Mus musculus: one gene and its partners. The protein of the gene in region 5 purifies or fractionates together with the protein of the main gene of each other region. This does not show direct contact. Links are inferred from orthologs where the notes say so. Each region holds a gene or a part of one and is shown on either strand. Other genes may lie near its edges. The genes, in order: Washc5, Cracd, Cnot1, 2900026A02Rik, Capza2, Twf1 and Svil.

Region 1 (3,500 bases), on a different chromosome or scaffold from region 5:
AAAGCATAAGGGTAAACCCATCCATGGTTACCAAACTCAGAGCCACGTTCCTAAAGGTAAGCAGGGAACGCCGACATCCATCCTCTGGCAGAAGAAAGGATCGGCTTTGCTCTGCTCTCATTGGTCGGGGTACGAGGCTGTCTATCCACTTTGCACTAACATTTACCAACCGTTTCATCAGAGGCAGCATCAAGTGTTCTGCCAGGGTTTAGTTCTCTGTGTAAAAATGAATCTCCATCTCATTAGTATGCACTAATTCGCTTTCATCTTTAATAAATGGTGAAAGAATTATGAATGTTTTAAAGTAAATCTATGGTTTGTTTTAAGTACATGGTTGATCTTATGCCTGGGTTACAGACCTATGTACTGGAGCCACAGAACAGCTTCTTTGGTGAAAAGGAGTCTGGCGTGCAAAGGGCTTCCATGGAATAGCAGCTCTCCAGCTTTGGGGCATCAGAGTTCCTTAGCGCAGCAGCTCCTCCACCCCGCTCCCACATTGCTGAGTCAGTCAGGGGTAGGTCTGGAAACTGACATGTCTCACATGTTCCCAGCTGCTGCCAGCGGCCAGTGGGAGACACACTGCCACAGTAGATGACTGTGGATTGTTTGTTTTGTTTTGTTTTTCTAATGTATTGTCAGAACCTATTTGACGCATTGTTGAGGCTTTCTAATTGGTCCCTCTATTGGGCGAAGCACAAATGTTGCCTTGTAAATTCCAGTTTGGGAAAAGAGGTTTCTAGGGCATTTATGAAGCAAGAAACAGATATGTGTTGTTTCCTTCCAGCTTGCCTCTGCCCTTGACCTTCCCCTGCTACGTATTAATCAAGCAAATAGCCCTGATCTCCTCAGTGTGTCTCAGTATTATTCAGGAGAATTGGTGTCATACGTGAGAAAGGTAAGGACTGCCTCTGATAGCTGCTTCCTTAAATAAACAGTGCCCTGGCGGAGCTTTGTGTTCTTCGGGTTTCTTCCCAGAAATGTCCAGATATAAGTGTATCTTACTGAAGCTGCAGACGTGCAAATGTGCTTTACTTTGTAAGGAGATCACACTGGTTTCCACATGCTCTGGCCTCAGAGTTGCAGAAGCTGAGGAGCAGAGGTGACGTAGCCTCTTCAGGGGCAGAGCTGGCTGCTCAGAGGCAGATCACAGCTCACATTCTCTTACTAGAACCTAGTTCAGGTCTTCAGGAGAATCTTGGTCCTTGCTCCAATCATTTGTGATGGATCCAGGACCCAGCCATGTCTGAGTTAGAGTCAGTCTGTGTCATGCACTGGCTGAGACCCTTCCTATACGTTACTGACATCTTGGGCAGTGGTAGGACGGCATGAGCTTGTCTCTCTAGCAGTTGTTTTGAGACAGCTTACTATGTAGCTCTGGCTGTCCTGGAACTTGCTGTGTGGACCAGGATGGCCTTGAACTCACAAGAGATTTTCCTGCCTCTGCCTCCCTGGCGCTGAGATTAAAGGTGTGTACACATGTCTTACACCCTTCTAACAGTTTTCAAACTAGTTCTTTTAAGTTTCTCAGCACTTCTCCTTACACAAACTGCCATCCTATACACTGGGACCTTCTTGCTCTCATCTTCCTTGTTCATCAGCTAAAAAAAAAAAAAAAACCATATAGATTCTCAACTGTATTTCTTCCTGGTCTTTTCATCAAAGGTTTTGCAGATCATTCCAGAAAGCATGTTCACATCTCTCCTGAAGATCATAAAGCTTCAGACCCATGACATCATGGAAGTGCCTACACGCCTGGACAAGGACAAGCTGCGGGACTACGCTCAGCTTGGCCCGAGATATGAGGTGCCATACCCTTGACTTCTGTCTTTGGATATTTGAAGCTCCAATACGAAGCATCCCCGGCCAGTGGCTCCTGGCATATCCCGGGATCCCAGCAGACCACCTGTGGTTGTGTTCTTGCCCTCTCAGCGATAACGTGGTTTGCAGTCTTTAGTGCTCTTGATGTTTCCCGAGTGTCCCTGAGAGCTTCCCCACCTGAGTTCTCTGTAGAGATGGAGCTCTTTTCTCTTGAACATTCTGTCATTGTCCTTGTTCCTCCTGTGTCCCACGACCTGACTTTCCACATCCTCCTTTGTACGTGCGGTACTCAAGCTACAGTTACAGCTCAGTGAGCCTACCTATCATAAGTTACACCTCAGTGAGCCTACCTATCGTAAGTTACACCTCAGTGAGCCTACCTATCGTAAGTTACACCTCAGTGAGCCTACCTATTGTAAGTTACACCTCAGTGAGCCTATCTATCGTAAGTTACACCTCAGTGAGCCTACCTATCGTAAGTTACACCTCAGTGAACCTACCTATCGTAAGTTACACCTCAGTGAGCCTACCTATCGTAAGTTACACCTCAGTGAGCCTACCTATCGTAAGGTGCACCTCAGTGAGCCTATCAATCGTAAGTTACACCTCAGTGAGCCTATCTATCGTAAGTTGCACCTCAGTGAGCCTACCTATCGTAAGTTACACCTCAGTGAGCCTATCTATCGTAAGTTACACCTCAGTGAGCCTACCTATCGTAAGTTACACTTCAGTGAGCCTACCTATCGTAAGTTACACCTCAGTGAGCCTACCTATCGTAAGTTACACCTCAGTGAGCCTACCTATCGTAAGGTGCACCTCAGTGAGCCTATCAATCGTAAGTTACACCTCAGTGAGCCTACCTATCGTAAGTTACACCTCAGTGAGCCTACCTATCGTAAGTTACACCTCAGTGAGCCTATCAATCGTAAGTTACACCTCAGTGAGCCTACCTATCGTAAGTTACACCTCAGTGAGCCTACCTATCGTAAGTTGCACCTATTGTTAAGTGGAAAATGCTCTGATTACACTCAGGAAGCTGGGCAGTGGCAGCTTATCCTGAGGCCAGCTCTGAAGTTTAGAGAGAAGTGCTATGTTAAAGGACAAAGAACTAGCCGGGCGTGGTGGCACACACCTTTAATCCCAGCACTTGGGAGGCAGAGGCAGGTGGATTTCTGAGTTTGAGGCCAGCCTGGTCTACAGAGTGAGTTCCAGGACAGCCAGGGCTATAAAGAGAAACCCTGTCTCGAGAAAAAGAAAAAAAAAAAAAAGGACGAAGAACTGCTCACAGTGACTGTCCCCCATATAGCCTCACGTCCATCCCAGGCATGGACACACCAGTGTCCTTTACACAACCACACACTGCTGCCTTTGCCCAGTGCATTACTTTGACCAGTCGTTTGGCCATGCATAGGGGTGAGGACTCTCCCCCGTGATGTATTTCATCTCCCCTCCCTCTCTCGCTGTTAAAGGTTGCCAAGCTCACTCACGCCATCTCCATCTTTACTGAGGGCATCTTGATGATGAAAACGACCCTGGTGGGCATCATCAAGGTAAGGGTTGAGCGCTGCTGTGTGTGGCCTGTGGCAATTTGTTTGATTTTCTGGTAATTACATGTGGAACGGGTAGGAATGCGGCCATCTCTTGCTGCTCAAAACTTTTATTTTTACCCATTTGTTGATGGA
Region 2 (4,103 bases), on a different chromosome or scaffold from region 5:
CTTTAGTGTGCTTCCTTCCTGCAATTCGGCAAATTAAATGCCATAGTTGAATCAGTCTTCCCAGCTCCATCTAGACCTGGGTAGAGGAACAGTCCCCCTGCGGTGCAATGTGGAAAGTGCCTCCAATGCTCTCCTGCCCTTGGTCTCTGAGACAAACTCCCTTTAAGGTTCCTCTCTAAGGAGGCAGGAGGAGAAGGTGGTGCTCTCTAAGCCTTTGTCACCTGGCACCATTGCAATGGGCTGCCTTGCCATAGGAAGGATAAGCCGCTCTGTCTGCCGGAGTAAGGACCAGTTGTGTCCTGGGGCTTCCTGAGATCCCTACTGTGTGTCTCTCTCATCAGGTAGACAGATGACCACACACCTTTGAGGTGCATCCCTATAGCTGCAAAGTGTCTGTTTTTCTCTTCTTTTCTATACTAGAGATTAAGCCTAGGGCATCGTGTATCCTGAGCTCTCTGCTAACTGTTACACTGTCTTCCACTAAGTGTAACATTGTTCCTGCCTGTGACAAAATACCCGAGTTCCTAGAGGGCTGGGTACATAAAGTTTGTTGGATTCAGTTTGGGAAGCTTGACAATCCAAATAGCATGGTGCCAGCCCTGCTCAAGGTCCCCTGGTTACGGTGGGTCACTGGATGGTATCACAGCAGCGTGGAAAGAAGCCAGAAGTGGATGCTTCTTACAGTGTGCCTCCCCTGTGGGGAGGGGAAGCCATCGTGTGGGGAGGGCTAGACTTCCTCCTCTTACTCATCCTGGAGAACTGTGGCTTCTTGGGACTTGCATTGACTCCTCCCGAGGACACCGTTCACAATGACCCCACCTCTTAAAGGTTTTAGTACACCCTAATGCTAGTAGAATGGGGACCCAGCTTCCAACACTTGGAGCCTTGATATCAAACCATGGCTAAAGCATAGCAGTTTTTGAAGAACTATGCAAAGCCTGTCCAATGGCTTGCCTGTGGGTTTCTTCCCGCCCCCGCCCCCCACGCCCCGGGTGTATTCTTCAAGCATTGATAGTCCCTTCTTCCAAAGGCTTTGCTCTGTATATCTGCACTGCAGTCTGACTGAAAGTCAAAGACACCTGTTTAGATCTGTGCCACTTCATAAGTACTAGTTGGCAAGATCACTTCGTAAGTACTAGTTAGCAAGATTTTCTGGAACAAGCCTGATAGTCACAGCTCAGCTGGGCAGGTCCTCCAGTTAGAAGCTCAGCACCATTGGTTCTACAGATAAATACCTTGCTCCAAGTTCTCCCTGTGAATGGTTCCGAGAAAGAGTGTTAGGACCACATTCTCCCGTTCCCATAGGAACCTTTCGTCTACCCTGCTCCTTGCCAACCCTCTGCAGGAAGGCTGTGGCGTAGAAGGACTTTCTAAATAAGCTAAGAGATGTGGGCCTTTGAGGCGGGGGTGGAGGGAGGGGGGACCCAGAAAACTGAATCTGGAGAAGTCATTTATCATCCTAATAAAATGAAGCACGTGATTTGCATTCCAGGTCCTTCAACTATTCTATGGGAGCACGGGCGTTCTCCCATGACAGTATTTTTATCCCTGATGGGGGAGCAGAAAGTGAGCAGACAGTTCAAGCAATGTCACAGGACAACATCCTGGGCAAAGTCAAAACTCTTCAGGTAAGGCAGCTTGAGACTGGAGGATCAGAGCCAGAGGAGCCCAGCCCACCCCCATCCTCTGGGGAGGGAAGTGGAAGAGTCCCTGGCTGGTCCTTGAGTGATGGAGTGGGAGGGTCAAGGGTCACTTCAGGAGAGAAAGCTTTGATTTCTTAGACTTCACTCAGTTCCCCGTTAAAGAGGCATGCTTAGCACTGCTATACTGCCACCCCACCCCTGGCTTGTCCTCTCTCCTCTCCTCCAATTGTTGCTTCCTGTTTGACTGGACATGAGAACAAGTCCCTAAGAGAAGCTACGAGGCTTGTGTGTGAGGAAAGCGTTCCTAACCATTAAGTTAGCTGAGCAGCTGCTATCCTTGCTCACTTCCATCGTGTGAGTCTCCAGCATGAGGTGGGGAGAGGCGAGCCTCTGGTGTGTCTGTAAATGCAGCCCCCCCGGCCACCTTGTCTAGAAGGGACCATACAACCCCTTTCTCCCTGCAATGTGGGCGGTGTCCTCAACTAACATTGACTTAGCTGGTGACTCCCTAACAGTGAAAACGTGGTAAAGCAGTGCTATACCAAACGTGGTTAAAAAAACATTTCCCTCACCAGAAATCAATGCCAGGGCAAGCAACTTCTCTGAGGTGTGGGTGCCTAGAGATGACCTAAACCAGTGGTTCTCAACCCCTTTTGGGGGTTGAAGGACCTTTTCACAGGATTGCATATCAGATATTTACATTGCAATTCATAACAGTAGCAAAATTGCAGTTTTGAAGTAGCAACAAAAATAATTTTTTTTTTTATTTTTGGCTGGGCAACACCATAACCAGAGAGAGGAACTGTATTATGGGAATCACCGCATTAGGAAGGCTGAGAACCCTGCTGGAGACTTTGAACAGAGGGGCTCTGAGTTACCCTGTCTCAGCTGACTGTGTCTACAATAGTGAATGTCTGAGAAGGGAAAAAAAAAAAGCAAAATAAAGAAACAATGAGAACTGAGTGATACAAAGGAGCATCCCACGCAACAGTAACTTCCATCCTCTCCACCTGTACTTGTTTCTGCTGGGCACAAGCTGTGTATTTTATGACCTGCCATCATACACTCAGTGCAAGGTGATGTATGCAAAACCAGGAAGGAGCCAACACCCTGGAGCCACACCCAAGCTTGCCTAGATCTTTATGCCTGCAGTCACCACTGACAGAGACCAGGTCTCTGCTGGCACAGCCAGCCCAGTCTGGCTTGTAGTGCCAACACTTAGAGCCCGGATTCCTTCTTTTTGTTCCTGCTGGCTGTGGTCTTGGACTTTGAGACTGGAAGAAGCAAGCTGTCACTTTTCACACAGGTTGAAGAGAGAGGACAGTAGTAGTCAGGGAAGCATTACCCCATTTCCCTCTTGCAGGCTTTTGATTACCGCTAGGTTCGGAGCCCCTGGCCTCTCACGCCCCTTTACTAAAGAGAATGTTGTGCAGAATTCAGCCCATGAAATACTGTATTTTTATAGGGCGTCAAGAAATTCTTTGAAGGGTGGATACTGGCCTGTTGCCTTCAGTGATACCTGCTCTGTAACATTTACCACATACCACTGCCACTTTAAAAAGTGGGTTTTAAGTGTTGTACAGTGCATGTAATGGCGCAGTATTGAAAAAAATAGAAACCCAATAAAATATATGAGTGACTGACTTCTTTTAACATGACCTATGGTTTTTTGGTTTTGGGGGTTTTTTTGGTTGGTTTTTTTTTTTTTTTTTTTTTTTTTTTTTTTTTGGTTTTGGTTTGGTTTGGTTTAGTTTGGTTTTTTGATACAGGGTTTTTCTGTGTAGCCCTGGCTGTCCTGGAACTCACTCTGTAGACCAGGCTGGTCTTGAACTCAGAAATCCCCTGCCTCTGCCTTCCAAGTGCCTGGATTAAAGGCATGCGCCACCCCTACCTGGGCGACCCTATGGTTTTAAGTAATCTGACCTCATTAATTGATAAAATGTAAAGCCATCAACTTTCCTGAAGTGACAATTTGATTAACACAAGAAGGAGGGGTGGGTGAACAGATCAAAATGACTAGTGTGCAGCCCCAGTCACATGAGGTCTGCCTAATTTTTCTTTTGTCCCAGGACTCAGGAGCCTCCTTTGATCTCTGTGGTGGTGACTTTGGAAATATTAAGGGCATTGCTCTTCAAGGTGGGGGAGTGGGGACCATGGTCAGAGCAAATGGGATTTTTTTTTTAAGTGACCTAAAGCCTTAACTGAATCACTCCCCAAAGACTATGCTTTCTTTTTCAGTCGACTAAGCAGTATGTTCCTGGTAAGTCCCCCAAACGTAGTGCCCTCATACACTTGCATGAGTGCTTCGCATTTCCCATGACAGCGGTGTGCGGATGGTGATGCTCTGCGATAAGCATACTCGTAGACTCCAGCATGGAATGAGAGTTTAGCTGTGTCAGAGGCATGTGTGTTTTATGTCTGGAATTGTCATTGTGTATGTCTTTGATGGTTTTTTTGTTT
Region 3 (3,500 bases), on a different chromosome or scaffold from region 5:
TGATTATAGTTAAATTTCCTTTATGGAGTGACTTGAAGTGGAATTGGCTCTGCAGAGTTAGCATAGAATGCAACAACTTCTTTCTCTAAATTATATATGGTTGAGGTTGTGCTTGAAATTTATTTTATAGCTGTATCATGAGCAAAAGTATTTGGTTTTCCAAAGGAACACGTCTTCTAGTAGAATCACTCTGAGGGCAGCTGCACATTTGTACAGCTCACAATCTTGAACAAGTTTCTTATATGTAAATATCAACAGCTACCTATCCCTTTCAGAGAAAGGAGGCTTGAGAAACAGCAGTGCTGCCCAGCACAGTGGTGCTCACCTTTCTTCAACCCCAGCATGGGGAGCACAGGCCTAGCCATCTCTGCGTTTGAATCTAGCCAGAGCTGCACTGTGAGATCCCGTCTCTGGAAAAAATAATGAAATATTAAGTGTTATTCATAGTTCTATGGTAACGTTTTCTCTTTGCCCATTTAGGTATCTAATGAGCCCGGGAATCGCTACAACCTCCAGCTTATCAATGCATTGGTGCTCTACGTAGGGACTCAGGCTATCGCACACATCCACAACAAGGGCAGCACGCCCTCAATGAGCACCATCACCCACTCAGCACACATGGACATCTTCCAGAACCTGGCTGTGGACCTAGACACTGAGGGTGAGTGCAGCAGCTGGCCATTGGCATCATCAGAGACTCTGTACTTTGCCACAGATATAATCGAAAGAATCTAGAAATTTCCTTTAAGCTACAATAAGGAATGCTTAAGAAAATGGCCCCAAATCTTATCCTGTGAGTAAAGATGGTATGCCAGAGTGCAATAAGTGGGAAATAAGTATGTTCTTTTTGATAGCCTACATCTGAAGGTCGGACTACATTGCTTCATACATAAGTTTGTCTTTACCAACAATTACTAGGGTCTGCTTGACAGGGAACAGAACACATTAGTGAGTGTAAGAAGATAATGGGCCAGAGCTTGCTGTTCCTCTGTAGGAAATGTACAGGGCACGTCGCTGTGGTGTCTCCTGCGCTGTTTGTTTCAGTGGTCAAGATTCAGAATCCCCAGCTTAGTGCTAAAGAAGCTCTGCTCGTTGTTTTGTTTGCTTGTTTTTCTCTTAGAAATTCATGACCTCATTTTTATTGTTACTCCATGCATATATGTGCATGTATATACACACATTTTGGGGGTGGGGGGCTAACCTTTTCTGTTTTATCAGCCACATGTGTAGTTTTGTCTGCAGGAGGTGGGGGTGGTTTTGAAGATTGAGCAGCTCATGCTTCAGTCCAGATCCACTACTTATGTTCACAGTTTTTATGCTCCTGCCAGAAGTCTTAGCGTTTGCTTTGAACTTGGTCTTCAGGGCATCCCTCGCTGCTTTGGCACTGATCTAGGACTACCAGATGTAGCTGAATCCAGTCTGTTGCTAGTATGCCACCATGATGTTAGGAGTGGGGCATGTCAGGAGGAACTGCTAGATCACTTGAGACTACTAATATATTTTACAGTATAAGCTGCTCAGGCTGTATAATTGTTACCTGTGCATATGTTTCAGGGCTGGCCATTTGGTATTGGATAGCCAGTTGCTGTTCTCATCTTTGAGAAGACAAGACTGTTTTTTTCTACTCTGAGCATTTCTTGGTTGCCTGTAGTTTTTTGTGTAGAATTGAGGCCTCATGTTACGTCCTTTAGACAAGTGTTTAAGAGTCTTTGTGATCAATGGTACAAACAAGATAATCAAATACAGATAAGAGATCTATTGCCACCTGAGCATGGTGGGAGATTCTGGATTTGAAACTTTCTCTCCAATTATTCTACCAAAGTACTTTTCAGAGTATAAGGATCATTAGGGGCAAGAGTCTTATAAGGGCTTTGAGGTTAGGACTGTTTTTGTCAGAGGAAGACATTGCCTTCATTATGTTTATTTCATGTGTACAATTTTTCAAGTACTACATGAAATAAAATGTTTTAAGTAGTTGGATGTTGAGACAATGCAGATTAGCTTTCCATTGTTGTGTAGGATCAAGATTTTCAGTAAAAATTTTTTTAAAGAATGTAAGGTATTTTGCTGATTCATAATATGGATTGCAAATAACGCCTACAGAAGCAAAAAAAAAGTTCATATCCAGAAAACCAATAGTAAATCGCAAAATTAGAATAATACTCAGTTTGCCCAAGGCCCACCATGCTAGATTATGTCTGACTGATGGTATCAGTCCCCCTAAGAAACCAAAGCCTAAGGAAACTCATTTGTCTCTCATACTGGCCTTTCAGAGCAAATCCTAAATCTAGTTTCCCTAATTTCTAGGCCGATATCTCTTCTTAAATGCAATTGCGAACCAGCTACGGTACCCAAACAGCCACACTCACTACTTCAGCTGCACAATGTTGTACCTTTTTGCTGAGGCGAACACTGAGGCAATCCAGGAACAGATCACAAGGTGAGAGATGTACTGTCATGATGCCTTAAAGGGGCTCTTTTCTCCTGTATTCTGACTGTCCTGAAATTCACTCCGTAGACCAGGCTGGTTCAAACTTGGGGATCCAACTGTTTCTGCCTCCTGAGTGCTGGGATGGATGGTGTGCACCACCACTGACTGCTTCCGCTGTATTCTGAATGAGTTCTGTGCATTCCCAGTTTCGCTGTGTTATTATGCTGAGCCATGTCTAAGGAATTACAAAACAAGTTGATAATGGACAGTGGTTTGCTTTGAAATGCTGGGTACTAGTTTACAATAAAAGCAACATTAGTTTCTTGGTGGTAGCTGTGGCAGTAATGTTTTTTATCCAGAATCTTGTTGACATTTTTGTGTACTTCATGTTTTTAAGGTTTTAAAGGGAAACAGTAGGGTCATACTGTTTGTTTAAACTGTATAGGATTGGATATTAGTGCACAATATAGTGGGGTGTACATACAGACTTGTACTTTACCTCTTCGCCCAACTAAATACTTGTGCCAGTTTCAGCAGCAAAGGCCTTAATCTTTGCCACCAGGAAACAAAAAAGTTTAAGAACAAAGATTTGGTACTAGCCAGCACTTGTCATGTAGGAAAAATTTCACCTATTTTCATATGCTAAATTCTGAGTGCATTCAGGGAAAGGGGCAATGAAGGCATAGTTGTGAATTTGTTTTTAATGTATTAACTAACTCTTCTATACCCCTTTTTAGGGTTCTCTTGGAACGGTTGATTGTAAATAGGCCACATCCTTGGGGTCTTCTTATCACCTTCATTGAGCTGATTAAAAACCCAGCATTTAAGTTCTGGAACCATGAATTTGTACACTGTGCCCCAGAGATTGAAAAGTGAGTTAAAATGTTAATTACCAAGCAGGGAGACAGAAAAGAATGTGTCTAATTTGGGTCTGTGAGTTAAAAGGGCAGTTATAGCTAATTCAGATTAAGAGATCTTTAGGCTTAAAGTTTGTTGTGAAGTTAATTGGTGCTTGTCTCCACTTCTTAGGTTATTTCAGTCTGTTGCACAGTGCTGCATGGGACAGAAG
Region 4 (4,282 bases), on a different chromosome or scaffold from region 5:
ACACAGAGAAACCTTGTCTCAAACAAAACAAAACAAAAGAAAGGAATAAACCATGTCCCATTTCTCAGGGGAGCATGAGTCATAAATATGATTCAATTTACACATGCGATGTTTCTCCCTAATGCTGGTGAAGTCCCGTGAGAACCTGGATCCATCAGCTCCCTCAGAGCGGAGTCCCCAGAGCCCAGCATAGAAAAGGTACTTAGCAAAGATGCATAGGCTGGCAGGGTAGCGTTCCAGAGATGTTCCAGCTACTGGGGTAAAGGAAGGGACTTGAGGAGAGAATGGGTTGAGTTCAGGAGCTCAAACCTGAGCAACAACATAGGGAGCCTCTGGGGAGAGGAAGAGGACTGGAGCACGAGGAGCTCGTTAGTGGTGGAATGCATCACTTTTGTAAGCCTAGAATTTATTTATTTTGTTTCTTTTTTTTAATTAGGAGCTCGTTAGTGGTGGAATGCATCACTTTTGTAAGCCTAGAATTTATTTATTTTGTTTCTTTTTTTTAATTAGGTATTTTCTTATTTTACATTTCAAATGCTATCCCAAAAGTCCCCCATACCCTCCCTGTCCCACTCCCCTACCCACCCACTCCCACTTCTTGGCCCTGGTGTTCCCCTGTACTGAGGCAGATAAAGTTTGCAAGTCCAAGGGGCCTCTCTTCCCAATGATGGCTGACTAGGCCATCTTCTGCTACATATGCAGCTAAAGACACGAGCTCTGGGGGTACTGGTTAGTTCATATTGTTGATCCTCCTATAGGGTTACAGACCCCTTTAGCTCCTTGGGTACTTTCTCTAGCTACTCCATTGTGTTTCATCCAATAGCTGATTGTGAGCATCCACTTCTGTGTTAGCCTCACAAGAGACAGCTATATCAGGGTCCTTTCAGCAAAATCTTGCTGGTGTATGCAATGGTGTATTTTATTTCTTATTGGTTATTTTATTTATTTACATTTCCAAAGTTATCCCCCTTCCCAGTTTCTCCTCCGTAAATCCCCTATCTCATCCATCCTTCCTGCTAGCGTTAATTTCCAACATGGTGTCCAACTTCCTCCAACTCCAGTTTCTGGGAATTTGTTGCCCTCTTCTGGCCTCTGTCAGCACCTGCACTTACGTGCACATATACACATATATCTAACAATAAAAGAAATAGTTTTGTTTTTAAGAGAAAGGAATATAAAAAGAAAGAAAAAAACCAAAACCATAGTGGTCGATATGATTAATGAAAACGAACAAGACAGCTGGTCAGGAATGCGCAGTAGCAGGGCCCTTGGTGGGCAATGCTCTGTCACCCCACCTCGGGGCACACAGTAGGTGCCTTGGCCGGCACCGTGGCGCAATGCCGCTTCCACCCGGCAGGGGGCGCGCCCCACATAGTCTCGCGGCTCCGGGCTCCCGCGCTCCGCCCCTCGCCGCTCTGCGCAGGCGCCACCGGGTGCGGTTGCCACGGCGACGGGGCGCTTCCCGCCCGAGCCCCGCCCCCCAGCGGCGAGGCTGCGCGCGCCGCGGCAGGTGCGGGCGGGCAGGTGCGGCGCCGGCGGGCCACTGCGGTAGGTGCGCGGAGGGCGCGGGGGCGCGCGGGCGGGCCGCGGGGGCGCGCGGAGACGCACGGGGACGCCCACTCCTGCCCGCGGGGCCGCGTGTAAAGTTGGCAAAGTTAGCGGAGGGAGGGCGAAACGGAGAGCGGGAGGAGCCGCGTGCGGAGTCCGGCTGCGGACTTGCTGGGGGAGGGGGGTGGATCCCGTTGAATCTGCGGCCGGGGAATGTCGGCGAAGGATGCCTAGGGCTGGCCCCCCGCTCCCTCCACGCGCGTCCGCGGCTCGCGCGTGTCTCGGGATCGCGCTGTGCAGGCCAGGGCTGACCCTTCCTCTGGCGGGGAAGCCGTGGCCTTTTGCTTTCGGAGGGACGGCGCCTGTTGCAGAGAGCTGTCCCCTCGAGGGCCTGCGGCTGGCGCTGGAGCCTGCGCCCTGTCCCCGGGGTCGCGCCCTCCGGGGTGGCGCGCGCACTGCCCTGGTCCGCGGTGACAAAGATGTGTAACTTGGACTTTCTTCCACTGGGGCGAGTTGCGGCTCCAGGCCACGCACAGAGAAGCGCTGGGACTGGTTAATCAGTAATCGGGACTCTAGGTGGAGGCTTCAAGCGGCCAACTTTCTCTTTGCCACCCCGCAGGGCAGGCGTGCGGCCAGGGCTGGGCTCTGCAGACACCGGTGCCTTGGTGGGTTCAGGGGAGACTTGAGGGCTTGGCAGGGGCGCACTTAGGCCCGAGAAGTGCAGAGTCTGGACGCGTGGTCCAGCCTTGCCTGCAGCTGTGTGCAGGGGTACATCGGAGTCAGCTTGGACCAGCCCAGAGCAGGTCAGAATCTGTTCTTCAGGGATGACTTTCTAGCCGTCTAGCCTGCTCCACGTCTTTGTTGATTTGTGATGTTGGGGAGCACCCTCACCCCAGACTCTGAGCTATACAGCCCCGCCCCCCCCCCCACAGAGTCACCAGAGGGCAAGGGAGTTCAGAGGTCAGTTGTGCATCCCTGGCATCTGACCCCTGCTAGCATCACCAGGAATCACCTAACCAACACACGGGATGAGCTGCCTCCAAACGAGTATGTCCGTTCATCAGTCATTCATTCATTAACAAATGGTTCTGTGTCAAGCACTAGGCTGAAAGTCAAGCCCGGAGGAGTGAACCCTGGGTCAATCTGGACGGAGAATGGGACAGCAGAGGAGGGGGCGTGGCTTGGGGCAAGAGGAGGATCATGGTCTGGGGCAGAGAAGGGTGTCAGGAATTGAACCCAAGTCCTCAGGCTTGTTGGCAAGCCCCTTTATCCACTGAGTCATATCACCATCCCGTGGTACTTCTTTGAGACTCAGGTTCTTTAACTGTAAAATGGTCCTCTCCTCCATCACGGGGGAGGAGCGTTCGTAAGGTGGGTCATGGAGGGCATCTGATTGAGCTCAGGGCGTGAGCCCAGAAGAGTTATTGTCATGATAGCCTGTGTCATCAGAATGGTTCCAGCAAGCAGGTACCTTGCCCAACCTAGTGTGTGTGTGTGTGTGTGTGTGGTCAAAGGTGACACTTGGGCTGAGCCTTGAGGGCTGGGTAGGAGGTAGGGCAGAGGCAAGACCTCACTCCTGGTCCTGCCCAGAGTGCAGGGCGTGTTGAGCAAATAAAAGACCTTTACACTCCTGTCCTGCATCGGAAGGCTTGGGACTGAGGGGACCAGATCCCTGCCTGGAGGCACACACTCCTGCCCCTGCCTGCTTCAGATTCCGGGAGTGTGGGTTAAGCCCTGCCACTCCTCTTGGGGGAACTTGATGGATGTTTGGAGACAGTGAGGCAAAATTGCTGAGAAGCAACAAAGGTAAACCAAGGGGGGCTTCCCGGAGGAGGCAGGGGGAGAGGTCAGCCAGGCCCCATGGAAGAGGGTGTAGGGAAGGCCAGAGCTACTGATGTACTGTGTTATGTCAGACCCTCCAGGCTGAGTCCTTCTGTCTGTCCCCTCTTTGTTCTTCCTGACAGTCTTCTCAGGCAGTGTTGGTTGTGGAGACTCCTCCACTGCCACCCATGAGCAGATCATGAAATGGGAGCTTGGGGGAGAGAGAGGAGGAACTGAGTTCTGTCCTTAGAACTGGCTGTCCATAGCCATGCACCTCCCAACTCTGAGTGTCCCCATGTGGCTAGGTGTGGCCGCCCACTGCCCTCACCCTGACTGCTGGCCCGGGAAGGGGAATCGCTGTCTGAGTGGAGGGCTCAACACAAGACGGATATCTCATGGAATCTCTTACTTGGGAGCGTCCCTGGGCCTGAGAACTCGGGGCTCTCCTGTCCCCAGAAATCCTCTAGTCAGCTGTGTGGGAGCGACTATCAGGAAGCAATTAAGGACTTGACTTTGGGGCCTGAGTTAGCGCTGCCCTTCTTGGTAATCGGGCGGTTAGGTGACCTTTGAAATGTTTACAGCCCTGTCTCCGTCGAGGATAGGGATATGTTTTCAAAGTATGATCGCTGACTGCTTACACCTGAGTCAGCTGTGCGCGTTGTTAAAATACTCCAGGAAATGAAAGTGTCTGACCCCAGATGACCAGCTGGACGGACAGTTCTGAGAGCCCCACTTCCCATCCCCTTTTGGTCCTCCCAAGGCTTCCCGTGCACAGAATCTAACTCCTCCTGAGCCCCCAATCACATCTGCCTACCTTGACGCCTGCTTTCAGATCTGCTCTGCCCAACATTAAGTCCTGGCTTTATCTGCTGTGTGACTGCCATCGGGTGTGTTAACCACTCTGAACCCGTTT
Region 5 (4,031 bases):
TAATGATAGTGTTCTTGGACCCAGATAGCTATTTGAGCTCTTTAGGGTCCTCTTACCTGTCATTTACACACAGCTGTCAGATTGACACCGCTGAGCATGTTCGGTTCATGTCGTGACACTGTCCAAATGCCCTCAAGAGCTTCTCACTTTCTAATTATTGAAGTCTTAACTACTAACTAAACTCTTAGTCCTTGGTAAAAACAAAGTGTGGTTTTCAGACGAGTAGCACTCCTCCTTCCTGGGAGCTTGTAAGAAATATAGATTCTCTGGTTTGCTCAGGCCTGCTGAACTAGCAACTCAATTTTATCAACATTTCCAGCTGCTTCCTGTGTCAGCTTTGACTTCAACCTTCCACCCCCCCCCCTTTTCTTTAACTTGAAGCTTCAGTAGTAGAGTTGCCAGATTTAGCAAATAAAAGTAGGAGACATCCAGTAAAATTTGAAAATAATAAATAATGGTTTTAGAATGCTTTAAATCCTTCATGGGACATTTACCTTAAAAATTGGTTGTATGAAATTGAAATTTCTACTGGATGACCTGTAAGTAGTTTGGACAGCCAGTTCATGAGGGTACAGATCCAAGGCTAACTTAACTTTTTTTTCTTTTTTTTTTACTTTCCAGGAGTACAATGCCTTCCCTAACTCAATGTCTAATTAATAGAGGTGAGCTTAAGAGCATTTTCTTTGGGATTTTTGTTTGTTTGGGTTTTTAAATCTACATTTCTTATTCCTAAGAACTAGCAAAATAGTCTTCCTATCATAAAAGACCAATAAATGTTTTTCGGATGAATAAATGAATATATCAAAAGTAATCTTTCAATTATGGACTGGATTGTGTGTGCCTATTTCAATTAAAACAGTATTTTTCCTAATACTTAAAAATGTTTTAAATTGGTACAGCTTTTCACATTTTAGCTGGCAGCGTTCAGGACTTGGTGGGAACAAAGTCATGGGCTCAGAATGTACTCATCGCCAACCGGGTCCATATGGTCATCGTTGACTAGAGAAGGCACCAGACAGAGCAGGATGACAGAAGATAACCATAGCAATCCCACTTTGGAGGCGCTGCGCACGCGCACAGCGGCGCTCAGGCCGGCGCTCAGGGGGAGGGAGGCGGAGCTCCGGGGGCGCGTGCGCGGCGGCCTAGGCTGAGGAGGCGGAGCTCCCAGGCGTGTGCGCAGTGGCTCGGCTCCCGGGAGGCGGAGCTCCGGGGCGCGTGCGCGGCGGCCTGGGCGGCGGGGCCCCTCCCTTGGCGGGGGCGCGCGGCGCGGAAGACCGCTCGGAAAGGGGGAAGTCAGGTGGCCGCTGCTGCCACCAGCGCCACGGTCTGTCGCCAGAAGGAAGATGGCGGATCTGGAGGAGCAGTTGTCCGATGAGGAGAAGGTAGGTGCCGCGGCGGTGAGGAGCCGGGCGGGCGGGAGGGCGGGAGAGGTGAGTGCCGAGGCGCGAGGGCCGGAGTCTGACCCCGGGCGGGCTCCGGTGGTGGGCCGCACGCCTGCGCTTCCCGAGCGGGGTGCTGCCCGGGCTCCCCGAGGCCGGGCCCCTCCGCTCCTTGTAGGGTGTGTGCTCCGAAAATAGGAAGCGGAGCCCGGCGGCCGCGGGCGGGAGCGGGGGCGGCGGGACCCGGCCCTGGGGGTCCGGGCTCGGGAGCGGCCGACGGCGGAGCGGCGCCGCCTGGCCTGGGGCTTTCGCCGTGAGGCGGGCGGGCGGGGAAGACGGCATAGCCGACCCTCACTTTTTCCTGCAGTTTCTCCTCCCCAACGCGAAGTGCTTCCTGGTTCCCCAGGGTGTTTCCTTCCCTCCGGAGGTCGCCGTCTCCACATCCCGCCCCTTCCCCCCCACCCCCCGCCATCTATTTCTTTTATTAATATTGTCATTACCTTTTTTTTTTTTTTAATTGCTGCTCCCATGTTCCCCGGAAGGCAGTATTGTTCACAAAGACACCCCTCCCTCCCATAGTTATTTTCTGCCCAACTTGGCTGCTTCCCCCTCTTGGGGCAGATTTGGTGACATCCCATCTTCCTGATAGGACCAACTCTGAAGAGGGCGAGCGGGTGCAACTCCTTTTACTGTGTGTTAAATGCTGTGACAGCATTAGGACCAAATGCACGACTCAAGTTCTCACATTTGTGATACGAAATCTGATCATTGAACTAAGGCTCTTGCCCATTTTCTTTGGCGACTGAGGAGACCGCGTACCAAGGGGCAAGTAGTGTGAGGGGGAACGCCATACGTTTTGAGTATTTTCTGGAAAAGACCGGGACGTTTTTTTCAAACTTAGACTTAACTGACATATGAGTGTGCTGCCCTTTGGAAATGTCTGATCTTAGCTTGTTTTTAAGTTCCAAATGAAGTACACCCATGTGGGAAACAGAACTCAGTTCTAGTAGGGTGTTAGAGAAACACTAAGGATATTTTCAGTTGGGACCCTCTCCTTTTATACTGCACCAGAATTAGTGTTCTCTTTCTCTTTGGTTGTTCAGAACTCAGCCTCTTTTATGGTTTTGGAAGTGTTCTGGCTTTCTCGTTTGTGCCCTTGGATGAAATGGTGATAACTTAACAAAATGGGGACAAGCATACCTTACTTTAATTCACAGAATTAGACCCTAAGTCGCTAAAAGTTGCTGTACAGTGTTTACATTTGTAGCATTGAATAGTTTAAAGCTATTTATTGAAAATATACCAGCGCATTACAAGAAAAATAGCGTTTCAGATTCAAAGTTCTTGAAGCGATTTTTTTCATGTTTTGTGTACTTTCATATAATTATTAGGAGGAGCTCAATTGGCTTGGAAGATAGTGAGAAGAGAATTGTTAGGGTGGGAATTAATGTAGATTTGCCATGTTGTTGGAAAGGCCCGGAAATTTCAAAATAAAATGAGAAGATTCCTTGACACCCAGTGTGCTGAGTTTTACAGAGTAGTGTATGAGTTCACCTGCTGGCATAACGTTGGAAACAAATTAATGAGAATTTTAAGCTTAGATTTAGCATCTTTTTGTGACATAGGTAGGAATATTCTGTAGTAACTTCACATACAGATTTTTATAACAGTATTTTCTAATTTAAGAGATCAGTGGTTAAACTTTCTAGTGAAATTTAAATAACCAGTAAATGGAAAACAATATTTTGTCACTTTTATTTCCCAGTAGACTTGTACTGTTTTAGGAAGGTGTTCCATATAGATCAGAAATGGATTTAATTGTGATATTTTAGGACCAGTTCTTAAATCATGCTTCTCTATTTTATTTCCTTGCTTGTGATTTTTCAGGAGTAAGTTTTAAATACTTTTTACATTTCAGTTTTGCAGGTCTAAAGAAGGGGAGGTACTACAATGTATAATAGTGTAGTTTATATGTATTTATCATGTAAGAAAAATGTTCTATTTTCTTTTTTAACTTAAGTTTGAGGTAGATAGTTTTATTATCCTTTACCTGTAAGTAAATTAAGGTTTTAAAGGCCTTATATAGGAGGGAAATGGCAGAGGTGAAATTTAAACCTAAGTTTATCAGAATTCAAGGTTTGCTTGTATACTTAATGCCATTATGTTCCCTTGAAGTTGATTATAGGACTATCCTGGGGTTATATATTGGTTTTCAATTTGCTTATTTTTAAAAAGAAAGCAATGGTTCTTTATAGTATCAGGTTCTAAGTTTGTTTTTTATACTTAGTGAAAAGGCTAACTGGTAACCTTGTGTTTTCACCATTTTTAACTAGTTTATTTTTATGTAATGTGAACATTGTGTGCTACTGCTATATAGTTTCTTACTGCCCCTGTGGAATGAGGCATTTTAGAAATTAATCATAGCTGGGTGTGGCAGAGCAGATTTGTAATCTAAGTACTGAGGAAACTGGGACTGGAGGATCTCTAGTTCTGAGGCCACCTTACAGAAAGTAACAACAAAAAGAGATTAGCTGGGTGTTGGTGCATACCTGTAATCCCCAGTACCCTGGAGGCTGGTCAGGAGGAACGTGTTTCAGCTTAGCTTGGTCTTCTGAGTTCTTTTGAGACAGGGAGACCCTGTCTCAAAAACAA
Region 6 (4,154 bases), on a different chromosome or scaffold from region 5:
TTAGAAAACATACATAAAAATAAACAATAGAATAAACTTTCACAGGGGAATGCATGCCGATAAAAGTGTACAGTGAGAAAGAACGGTAACTCCTGTCTGCTGTTTCCATACAAATGTATTGCATCCAGGTAACTACGAACACACATTTGACTTGAAGCAATCAAAGGCTAACCTAAAGCAAAGCTCTGTTAATGGTTTCCAAGGGTAGAGCTGACCACAGAGAGATATTCAGGTCAGCTCAATGGCTCAGTGGTTTCACACTCAGTTCTTTGGGGGAACCAGAGAAAGGACAATGAGGTCTCTTAAAGTGCTATGAGCTGAAATTTCCAGAAAAAAAAAAAAGCCACCCCAAACCTGTTCAAGACTCAAAAAGGTTGCCTAGCTGATTAGAAGTGCCTGATTGTGTAGGACTGTGGTGTAGGTCCTAAGCTGAATTATCTTGGGCCATCCCAGTTACTAGCCACTTCTGAGTCCATCCTTGGAAATGTACAGACCACTTAGCTTCTCCCATTGAAAGGTTAAAGATGCCCTCTTCAGATAATATCTGAACCAGTAGCAGAAATTTCGCCACTTTGGGTATAGCCCCATGTCCCCACCAAATATATTTTAAAGATGATTTGTGATTTTCTTTTGTTCTGGTACTAAAAAAAAAATTCATAAGTCTGTTACCAAGTTGAAACATGATATTTGGGATGGGGTGTCACCTGAATTAGTGCCTCCTCCCCGCCTGATAGGGCACATATTTGATTTCAGAATAGACTTTTTTTTCTCTTTTTTGAGGTGAGAACAGTGGTTTTGTGTGATAGTGACCAATTGAAAAGTGAACAGCTTGAGATTCAAATCACGGGGAAAATAATGGAGAACTCTACAGTCTCTTATTTTAAAGTGGGCCAGGAGTGGTCTTGAGCCCCATCTTGCTTTGCAAATGTTTAACTGTTTTATCTTTCGCCTTAAAATGGTCTTTTCTTTACAGCAAAGGATATGTCTTTCATGTAGAAAGCGTTTGTTTCGGAAAATGGCCATTTTTCCCTCTAAAGCATTTTGATGAGGTGTGTCGCTGCGGCGTGTGATAGACACACAGCCCACTGCCAGAAGGTGCATCCTGGACAGAAACAGCAGCGGGGGGGGGGGGGGGGGGGGCAAGGGGGGGTGATTGCCGGGAAAGGGCATGGCCAATGGCTTAAGGGGCGGGGCTTGTGACGACAATGAAAGTAGCCAGTGAAAGAACAGGGGGCGGGATCCTAGGCGGGGTCTATGTCGCGCTGGAGAGCGGGGCTGGTGCTGGGGGCGGGGCTGAGAGTCGCGGGCCGATGACGCACAGGCGGAGCCGCTACTTCCTGGATCCGCCGGCCGGGGCCGCTACCGCACCCTGCGCCGGAGCCGGGAGCCTGGGGCCGCCGCCATGTCCCACCAGACAGGCATCCAAGGTAACGGCGCCACGGGGCAGGGGCTCCCGGGAGGCTGCGGGCCGGAACGCTGGAGGCGCGCACGGCATTGGAGCTGCTCTGGGTGCGACGGCCCCGACTGTGTCCCTCGCGGCCCTCCCCGGCGGCCGCCACGTAACAGGCCGGTGGTGGCTGCCAGAGAACCGAGGATGTGAGGATGTCCCGGGCGACCCCGCTGCATCCCGGCCCCCGTGCCGAGAGCAGGAAGACCGAAGCTGGCTGGGCTCCTGCCGCCGGCCAGCCGAGCGACTTTTTCCTCGGGACCCGCCAAAGGAGATTGCTCCAGCACTCAGATCGTTTGAAAACCAAACAGCTCCCACCGCTGTAGGCTGCCTCCCGAACTCCCCGGATTTTTCTCTCAGAACGCGGGTGTGCCTTCCTTCCGGAGAAATCCCGAGTAGGGAGTGTTTTTCCATCTTTGGATGCTTGCACCCCAGGCAGCTGCAAAGTCTGATCTGTGTAGCTGCACCTCATGAACCCCGTGGAGACAGTCGAATGTGCAGTTTACTTGTGTATCTTACTCGCCGTTTATTATTTCCTGGTTGGAAAATAGGCAACTTGGACGTACTCAACCTCCTACGGAATCAAATAATATATCCCGGGGTTATTTAACGAGTTCTAATATAAACTAGAGCACTTCCCGTAATAGTTAACCGAGCCTTTCCCCCGGGTGACCACTTAATAACTTGTTTTGTGTTTTAAGGGTTTTTGACACTACCACTTAATTCTGTGCACATGCAGGCAAAAATAGTCTCCGATCTAACAACACTTAATCTCCCCCGTGTTACTTATGACATTTAAATATATCAAAATTATTGTTTAATGTTTGAGCCTTTTATATAACAAGACATAAATATTAGTCTTGCTTGGCAATCAACAACACAAGACCGAATTTGAAGCAATGATGACTACACAAGGGATAGGTTATTAAATGTTTATTTCCTGGGTGGCTTCTATAACTTTTTACAAAGAGATGCAAGAAAAATGTAAGATCTAGTGTATTTTACAGGTTTTTTCTTTAATCAGTATATGAGATTTGATCCTGTTGTTCTTGATGGACAGATACAGGACATGATTTGATGAAGGAGCACACATCACAAACTTAAAATTGGACTATTAGAAGCAACTTGTTAACATTTTCAAACATGGAGCAATTTGTCTGTTACTGGGTTTGACTGAAAGCATTCACCCTAGTGTTACTTCTGCTACTGAGTTCTGTGGCTAAAATGTTGAAGTTCCTGTACTTCTAAATGCTAGTATTTAGTTTTTGCTCCTCGCCAAGGCCGGTATTTTATGCTTCTGTTTTATAGTAACAATAAGAAGGGCCTGTATGCTCCACATGTTTCTTTAATTTATGTTTTCTTTAGGTGAATACAAACTAAACTACTTCTAGGTTTAAACACTTTTTCCCTTTATCATTTTCCACAGCAAGCGAAGATGTCAAAGAGATCTTTGCCCGAGCCAGAAACGGGAAATACAGACTTCTGAAAATATCTATCGAAAATGGTTAGTTAACAGTTTTAAGATACTCTGTGCCCCTGGAGGGTTAGCTGTTACAGTTTCAGGTTTCCAAGCCTTATGAGTAATTTGAACTATTAATCAGCATGAAGCAAGTTCAGAGCTTGCCTTTCAGCCTGTTTTCCTTTTAAACTGGGGGCGGCCATTGCGGAGACAGCAGGTGCTTTCTGGTGTGGAGGCTTCACCTGTTGTGTGTTTTTCTGCAGCACAATCTATGTCTAATGTCAGTGCTTCTAGAATGAAAATCAGTAGCTGGGCATTTATTGAAAACAAAACTAATTATTTTGTGAGTTGTTCAATGAGCTGTGTTTTGAAGTAGAAACATTTGAGATACTTGTTTGTTTATTGCTTGATTGGATCATACAGAGATCCTTTCTTGTTTGCAAACGTTCTGAGAAAATGGCAAATTATAAATTGACTCCTTAATGTTAATTTTATGAACAGGGAAACTGGCTGAGTGGCTATATCTGATAGGAGATGGATTTGAAGAAACTGTTAATAACTCGATGTTGAAATGAATGTGCTGAAAATATTCTGTTGGCCTCAAATACCCTAAGACATTTTGTTTTGGAAAAATAACTTGTTTTTTTTCATAAACTGGAAATAAACTAAGTTTGTTTTCCATTTTCTGCTTATATATTTAACTGTGAAACTAGTTTAGGAAATCTTAAAGTCTGTAGGAACAAATGTATATACTTCAAAGCAGCTAAAATTGTGACGGTCAGTAAGCAAAATGGAAAGATAAAATGTATCTAATTCATACTTTAGGAAGAAAATTTCTATTTCTTAAATATTTTCCAATTGTTTTTTTAATCTTGAGAAAATTGTTAAACTAGTAAGTTTCAGAGAATGGAAACATAAATACCCACCTCTTAACTTAATGACCTAGTACTTTATAGTTTGTTCCAGACCTTGTTAACTGTTACTGTCTCTCTAATGAAGGACAGCTTTGACAGCTGTACTTTTCTTTTCGTGGAGCATCTACAGTTGGAAAGATAGATAGAGACACACACACACACATATATAAAATCCATCATCTTTAGCACATAATGCTGTTTTTAAGTTCATATAAAGTGCATATTGTTATATTCTTGATCTTTATTTCTGGGATTTCTGGTGGATTTGTGTTGCTAGCATATGATGACTTTAAAACACAAACAGTATTTTTATGTGACTGTACCACGGCGTGTT
Region 7 (3,500 bases), on a different chromosome or scaffold from region 5:
CACATCAATTCACACTTGGAGAAAAGGCACTGAGATCTTAAAGTGAGTATCGATGCAGCTGTGGTGTTAAGAACATGTTCAGTGTTTAGAGCAAATTTATGGGTCAAGTGTCTGCCAGGTCTATTTAATCTTATGTCCTGCCCTGCGTTGAAGTTCAGAGTCTCAGGAGTTGGCACCAATGCAGCACACTAGTGTTTGTTGGACAGCTACATAGTGTCCGTCCCCCCCCCCCCCCCTTACAGGAATAGTGCCCCACCCCATGAACAGGCTTGGAATTCAATGTGAACTGATCAATGAATTGGGATTACTTTGATATTTTATTTTGGGATCCTGTGCCACAAAATGACATGTGTAATGTTTACAATGGGTATGAGAAATTGAGATGTTTTTATTTCTACTGAGAATAAAGCTGTAGATAATATTCCAAACCAGCATCAAAAAAGCAGAGCAAACTTTTCTGTATATAAACTGTACATAAACAAGGCACTATACATTTCTGGGGGGAGATATTAAGGTAGAAAGGTTGATTCAAATAGATTCTTCAGAGTTCACACTAAGAATACAAAGTCTTTGTTTGCTTTAGCACCGGAAGCAGAACTTAGCACAAGCCAGACCTAAGGCTGAAGGAGGCACTCCTGAGCACGGGACAGACTGGTGGTAGGCTTAACTCAACAGAAGCAACACAGTCCTCTAATATTGTTTTGACACCAAAGAAAACAGTTGCAAGTGAATGAATACATATTGCTTTGTTAAATACATACTTGATTTATATGTGTTTATATAAATATATATATATATATTTAGAATTCACAAACTATCAAAATAACACTTTATAAAGAGAATTGCTTTAAAAAAGGCAGTGCTGAGCCAGACCAGAAGGGTAGGGCTGCAGCGGCCACTGAGGCAGCACTTGGCTGAGGGGAACGGAAAAGACACTTTTCTTTTCAGTTCACCTGAACTGTGGAAAAGAACAATCAGAAGAGTTCTCTTATACATTTACAGAATGCTCAACTCTAGAACAAGCTGTAGGTTTTGAAAAACTCTGATTCAAAAATACTTTCTTCTTTGACAGAAAAAACTACTAGTCCAAATATGTATCTCCATTCATTTTCGGGTCTAGCGGCAGCGACTTCTCTGTGGCCCTGTCATCTCACCCTCAGAATAGGCCCTTTGACTTCTTCAGGTTCACTTGCTTCCAGGTGGGCAGTGCATTGAATTCATCTCTGGACATGTCGAGTGCAAACTAGAAGAGATGGAGAAACTCCCAGTGAGTGACTGAGTAAAAAGATGCTCTCCCAGTGTGTTGTCAGCATCCCACACAAGGGTCACTCACCTCAAAGTCTTCATCTGTGAGATAAATCTCAAGCTTTAGAGGGTCGACCCCCTCTGGGAGTGGCCTGGCAAGCAGATCTGCCAGTGGATAGATGGTTTTACAGAGCTTGGCTAATACATCTTCCACCAAGGTGATCTGGTTGGAAACTTCAGTATCCTGGAGACGGAGCAGAGTACATTTGAGCAGACAAGTGCTATCGCTGGAGCACACAGACTCCCAGCTCTGCCCTGCCTACGGCCTGGGGAGGGCTGAGTAAGGCGTCACTCCATTGTGGAGTGGGGGCTCTGGATGTCCTGGAATCACCTCCTACCCTTCATAGCTTTTCTCCTGTACTAAATTAAGCCTGTTTCTGAACTACTTCCAGAAGTAAATGAATGAATGTTTAGGGACTCAGATTACCCATGAATGGACAACAGAAAAAGATTATTGGACCTGAAATCAAATCACTAGATGCTTACACATAGTGGAATTTGTTTGAACATATTTTAAAGTAATTACGTTCAGAAGAAATCATGCCCTCTCCCCTTCCCCTAGGACCCATTTCTTAATCCACAAACAAGGTAAGGGTGAGGGTGAAGCTGCGTAGGGGAGTCTGTGCCTAGAATGCATAAGGCCCTGGATTATGCACACACACACAATCACAGACAGACAGACAGACAGACACGCACACAGTAGGGGGAGAGATGCTCTGGGAAAACCATCTTTATCCCTTATACTTGGGTCTGGGAAGTGCTGCTTCCCTTTGGGCAGTTGGATGGCGTGTGAATGAGCTCAAGTTCAAGCTATGGGGATGAATGTCAGGGAGAAGCAGGTGTGGTGCCGAGCCCATTCGGGTCTGTTCCTGTGAATCGTACCTCACTTGGTGGCTCAGAGATTCGAGGCAAGTGTTGTATGCCTCAGCTCCTACACTGGTACAATGGAGACAATAGTAAGATGAACACTGATGTACTGTCCTGGTAATTAACTGAGAAACCAGATGTGCTGTGCCTTGCCAGTGAGCCTTAATGATGAGCTTGCTCACCATCATGCACTGTTCCCCCATCTCCTGCCATGCCGATGAGCAACAATAAATGCAGAGATACCAGGGCAACCTCTGTCTTGGGCTTAGACTGAATAAGGCAGCTGCAATGCCTGTAGTCCTTGGAGCCCCAAGCTCACCATTTCTGTGATTTCAGCAATGTCTTCTCTGTGTTCCCAGCTGGGAAACATGTTGGTGAATGTCAGGGGCTCTAGCCCAGCATGAATAAGGTAAGACTTGGGGGGTGGCCTTTTGAGATTCTTTCCTGTGGGAACACAGAATGCACATGTCAGTGGACCCAAAGAGTCTGTCCTGCTTTTTCTCAGGCTCTTCCCATTTTCCTTCAGAACTCTTGACTTCCATGTTTAGAACTCGGATCACAAAATACTTAAAGCAACACACAGGTGCTGTTTATCTGAAAGGTTACTACCCCCCACCTCCTGAACCTGGCAAAACGTTTCTGAACATTTTGGGGGGACAGAAGGCTGTCTGGAAACTCCCACCAGGTATGTCTGCTTCCCTTTCATTTGCCTGGAGGACAAGTTTCGAGAGCAGGTGACAGGCGATGGCAGCATCTTCCAGGTGCCGTGAGCATTTGGTGGGATTTGGAAGGCTGTTCACAAAGAGCTTTCCATGGCAAGAGTCAACTACACACACACCGGGGCATTAAGAGAGCCAGTAAACTATCAGCATGTAGACAAAGCATTAGTTATGGGCATCCATGTTCTGTAAAAGGTCAGATTCTATGCTAGGTAGGAAACTGTTTCGGTTGTTGTTATCATTGGATATGATACCAAAAGAAAGACTGGCGTTGGCTTTTAGCCAGTTTGGGCACGATGCCGGCATTGCCTGAAGAGAGAATGGTGCCATGGAGGTCACTTAGCCAGAGTGGTGGCAGTGCAGGTGGTTCCACAGTACACCTGTGGGTGGCCCTGTCATTTGAAAGGGAAATATGGACTCTCCTTTGTTCTAGTAGCAGAGAATGTATTGATCCTAAGATTGACAAGCCTCCAGCAGTTTAAGGGGGAGTGCTGGAGCCTTCTCAAGGTTGCAGGCATCTCAGGAAGGACATGGTTAGGCCTGTGGGGACTTCCCACCCCTTTCTCCTGCCCTTACCTCGGCAGTACTGCAGGACCGTCTCCATGGCAC

Evidence for each region.
Region 1: the proteins of Capza2 (region 5) and Washc5 purify together in Homo sapiens (affinity purification with mass spectrometry; 3 studies listed by BioGRID and IntAct, counting the BioPlex papers as one, with this or other methods). This does not show direct contact. The link is inferred for Mus musculus from reciprocal best matches to the Homo sapiens genes CAPZA2 and WASHC5.
Region 2: the proteins of Capza2 (region 5) and Cracd purify together in Homo sapiens (affinity purification with mass spectrometry; 3 studies listed by BioGRID and IntAct, counting the BioPlex papers as one, with this or other methods). This does not show direct contact. The link is inferred for Mus musculus from reciprocal best matches to the Homo sapiens genes CAPZA2 and CRACD.
Region 3: the proteins of Capza2 (region 5) and Cnot1 purify together in Homo sapiens (affinity purification with mass spectrometry; 3 studies listed by BioGRID and IntAct, counting the BioPlex papers as one, with this or other methods). This does not show direct contact. The link is inferred for Mus musculus from reciprocal best matches to the Homo sapiens genes CAPZA2 and CNOT1.
Region 4: the proteins of Capza2 (region 5) and 2900026A02Rik purify together in Homo sapiens (affinity purification with mass spectrometry; 3 studies listed by BioGRID and IntAct, counting the BioPlex papers as one, with this or other methods). This does not show direct contact. The link is inferred for Mus musculus from reciprocal best matches to the Homo sapiens genes CAPZA2 and KIAA1671.
Region 6: the proteins of Capza2 (region 5) and Twf1 purify together in Homo sapiens (affinity purification with mass spectrometry; 3 studies listed by BioGRID and IntAct, with this or other methods). This does not show direct contact. The link is inferred for Mus musculus from reciprocal best matches to the Homo sapiens genes CAPZA2 and TWF1.
Region 7: the proteins of Capza2 (region 5) and Svil purify together in Homo sapiens (affinity purification with mass spectrometry; 3 studies listed by BioGRID and IntAct, counting the BioPlex papers as one, with this or other methods). This does not show direct contact. The link is inferred for Mus musculus from reciprocal best matches to the Homo sapiens genes CAPZA2 and SVIL.

What each region holds. Positions count from the first base shown.
Region 1 is NC_000081.6:59,346,688-59,350,187, reverse strand, and holds part of Washc5 (WASH complex subunit 5), read left to right. Parts: coding exon 1-56; intron 57-784; coding exon 785-895; intron 896-1,662; coding exon 1,663-1,803; intron 1,804-3,287; coding exon 3,288-3,368; intron 3,369-3,500. UniProt on the Homo sapiens protein: Acts as a component of the WASH core complex that functions as a nucleation-promoting factor (NPF) at the surface of endosomes, where it recruits and activates the Arp2/3 complex to induce actin polymerization, playing a key role in the fission of tubules that serve as transport intermediates during endosome sorting.
Region 2 is NC_000071.6:76,839,296-76,843,398, forward strand, and holds the start of Cracd (capping protein inhibiting regulator of actin dynamics), read left to right. Parts: upstream 1-1,303; 5' UTR 1,304-1,378; exon of another isoform or gene 1,379-1,386; coding exon of another isoform or gene 1,387-1,388; intron 1,389-1,492; coding exon of another isoform or gene 1,493-1,508; coding exon 1,509-1,628; intron 1,629-3,881; coding exon of another isoform or gene 3,882-3,903; intron 3,904-4,103. UniProt on the Homo sapiens protein: Involved in epithelial cell integrity by acting on the maintenance of the actin cytoskeleton. Positively regulates the actin polymerization, by inhibiting the interaction of actin-capping proteins with actin.
Region 3 is NC_000074.6:95,720,446-95,723,945, reverse strand, and holds part of Cnot1 (CCR4-NOT transcription complex subunit 1), read left to right. Parts: intron 1-480; coding exon 481-661; intron 662-2,307; coding exon 2,308-2,440; exon of another isoform or gene 2,441-2,507; coding exon of another isoform or gene 2,508-2,666; intron 2,667-3,168; coding exon 3,169-3,303; intron 3,304-3,460; coding exon 3,461-3,500. Other genes in the region: N-lysine methyltransferase SETD6, read right to left, coding at 2,508-2,666.
Region 4 is NC_000071.6:113,218,477-113,222,758, reverse strand, and holds the start of 2900026A02Rik (uncharacterized protein KIAA1671), read left to right. Parts: upstream 1-1,482; 5' UTR 1,483-1,548; intron 1,549-1,636; exon of another isoform or gene 1,637-2,351; intron 2,352-2,821; exon of another isoform or gene 2,822-3,354; intron 3,355-4,282.
Region 5 is NC_000072.6:17,635,779-17,639,809, forward strand, and holds the start of Capza2 (F-actin-capping protein subunit alpha-2), read left to right. Parts: upstream 1-1,231; 5' UTR 1,232-1,343; coding exon 1,344-1,382; intron 1,383-4,031. UniProt on the Homo sapiens protein: F-actin-capping proteins bind in a Ca(2+)-independent manner to the fast growing ends of actin filaments (barbed end) thereby blocking the exchange of subunits at these ends.
Region 6 is NC_000081.6:94,587,025-94,591,178, reverse strand, and holds the start of Twf1 (twinfilin-1), read left to right. Parts: upstream 1-1,354; 5' UTR 1,355-1,402; coding exon 1,403-1,427; intron 1,428-2,873; coding exon 2,874-2,951; intron 2,952-4,154. UniProt on the Homo sapiens protein: Actin-binding protein involved in motile and morphological processes. Inhibits actin polymerization, likely by sequestering G-actin. By capping the barbed ends of filaments, it also regulates motility.
Region 7 is NC_000084.6:5,116,089-5,119,588, reverse strand, and holds the end of Svil (supervillin), read right to left. Parts: coding exon 3,468-3,500; intron 2,617-3,467; coding exon 2,492-2,616; intron 1,490-2,491; coding exon 1,334-1,489; intron 1,244-1,333; coding exon 1,157-1,243; 3' UTR 296-1,156; downstream 1-295.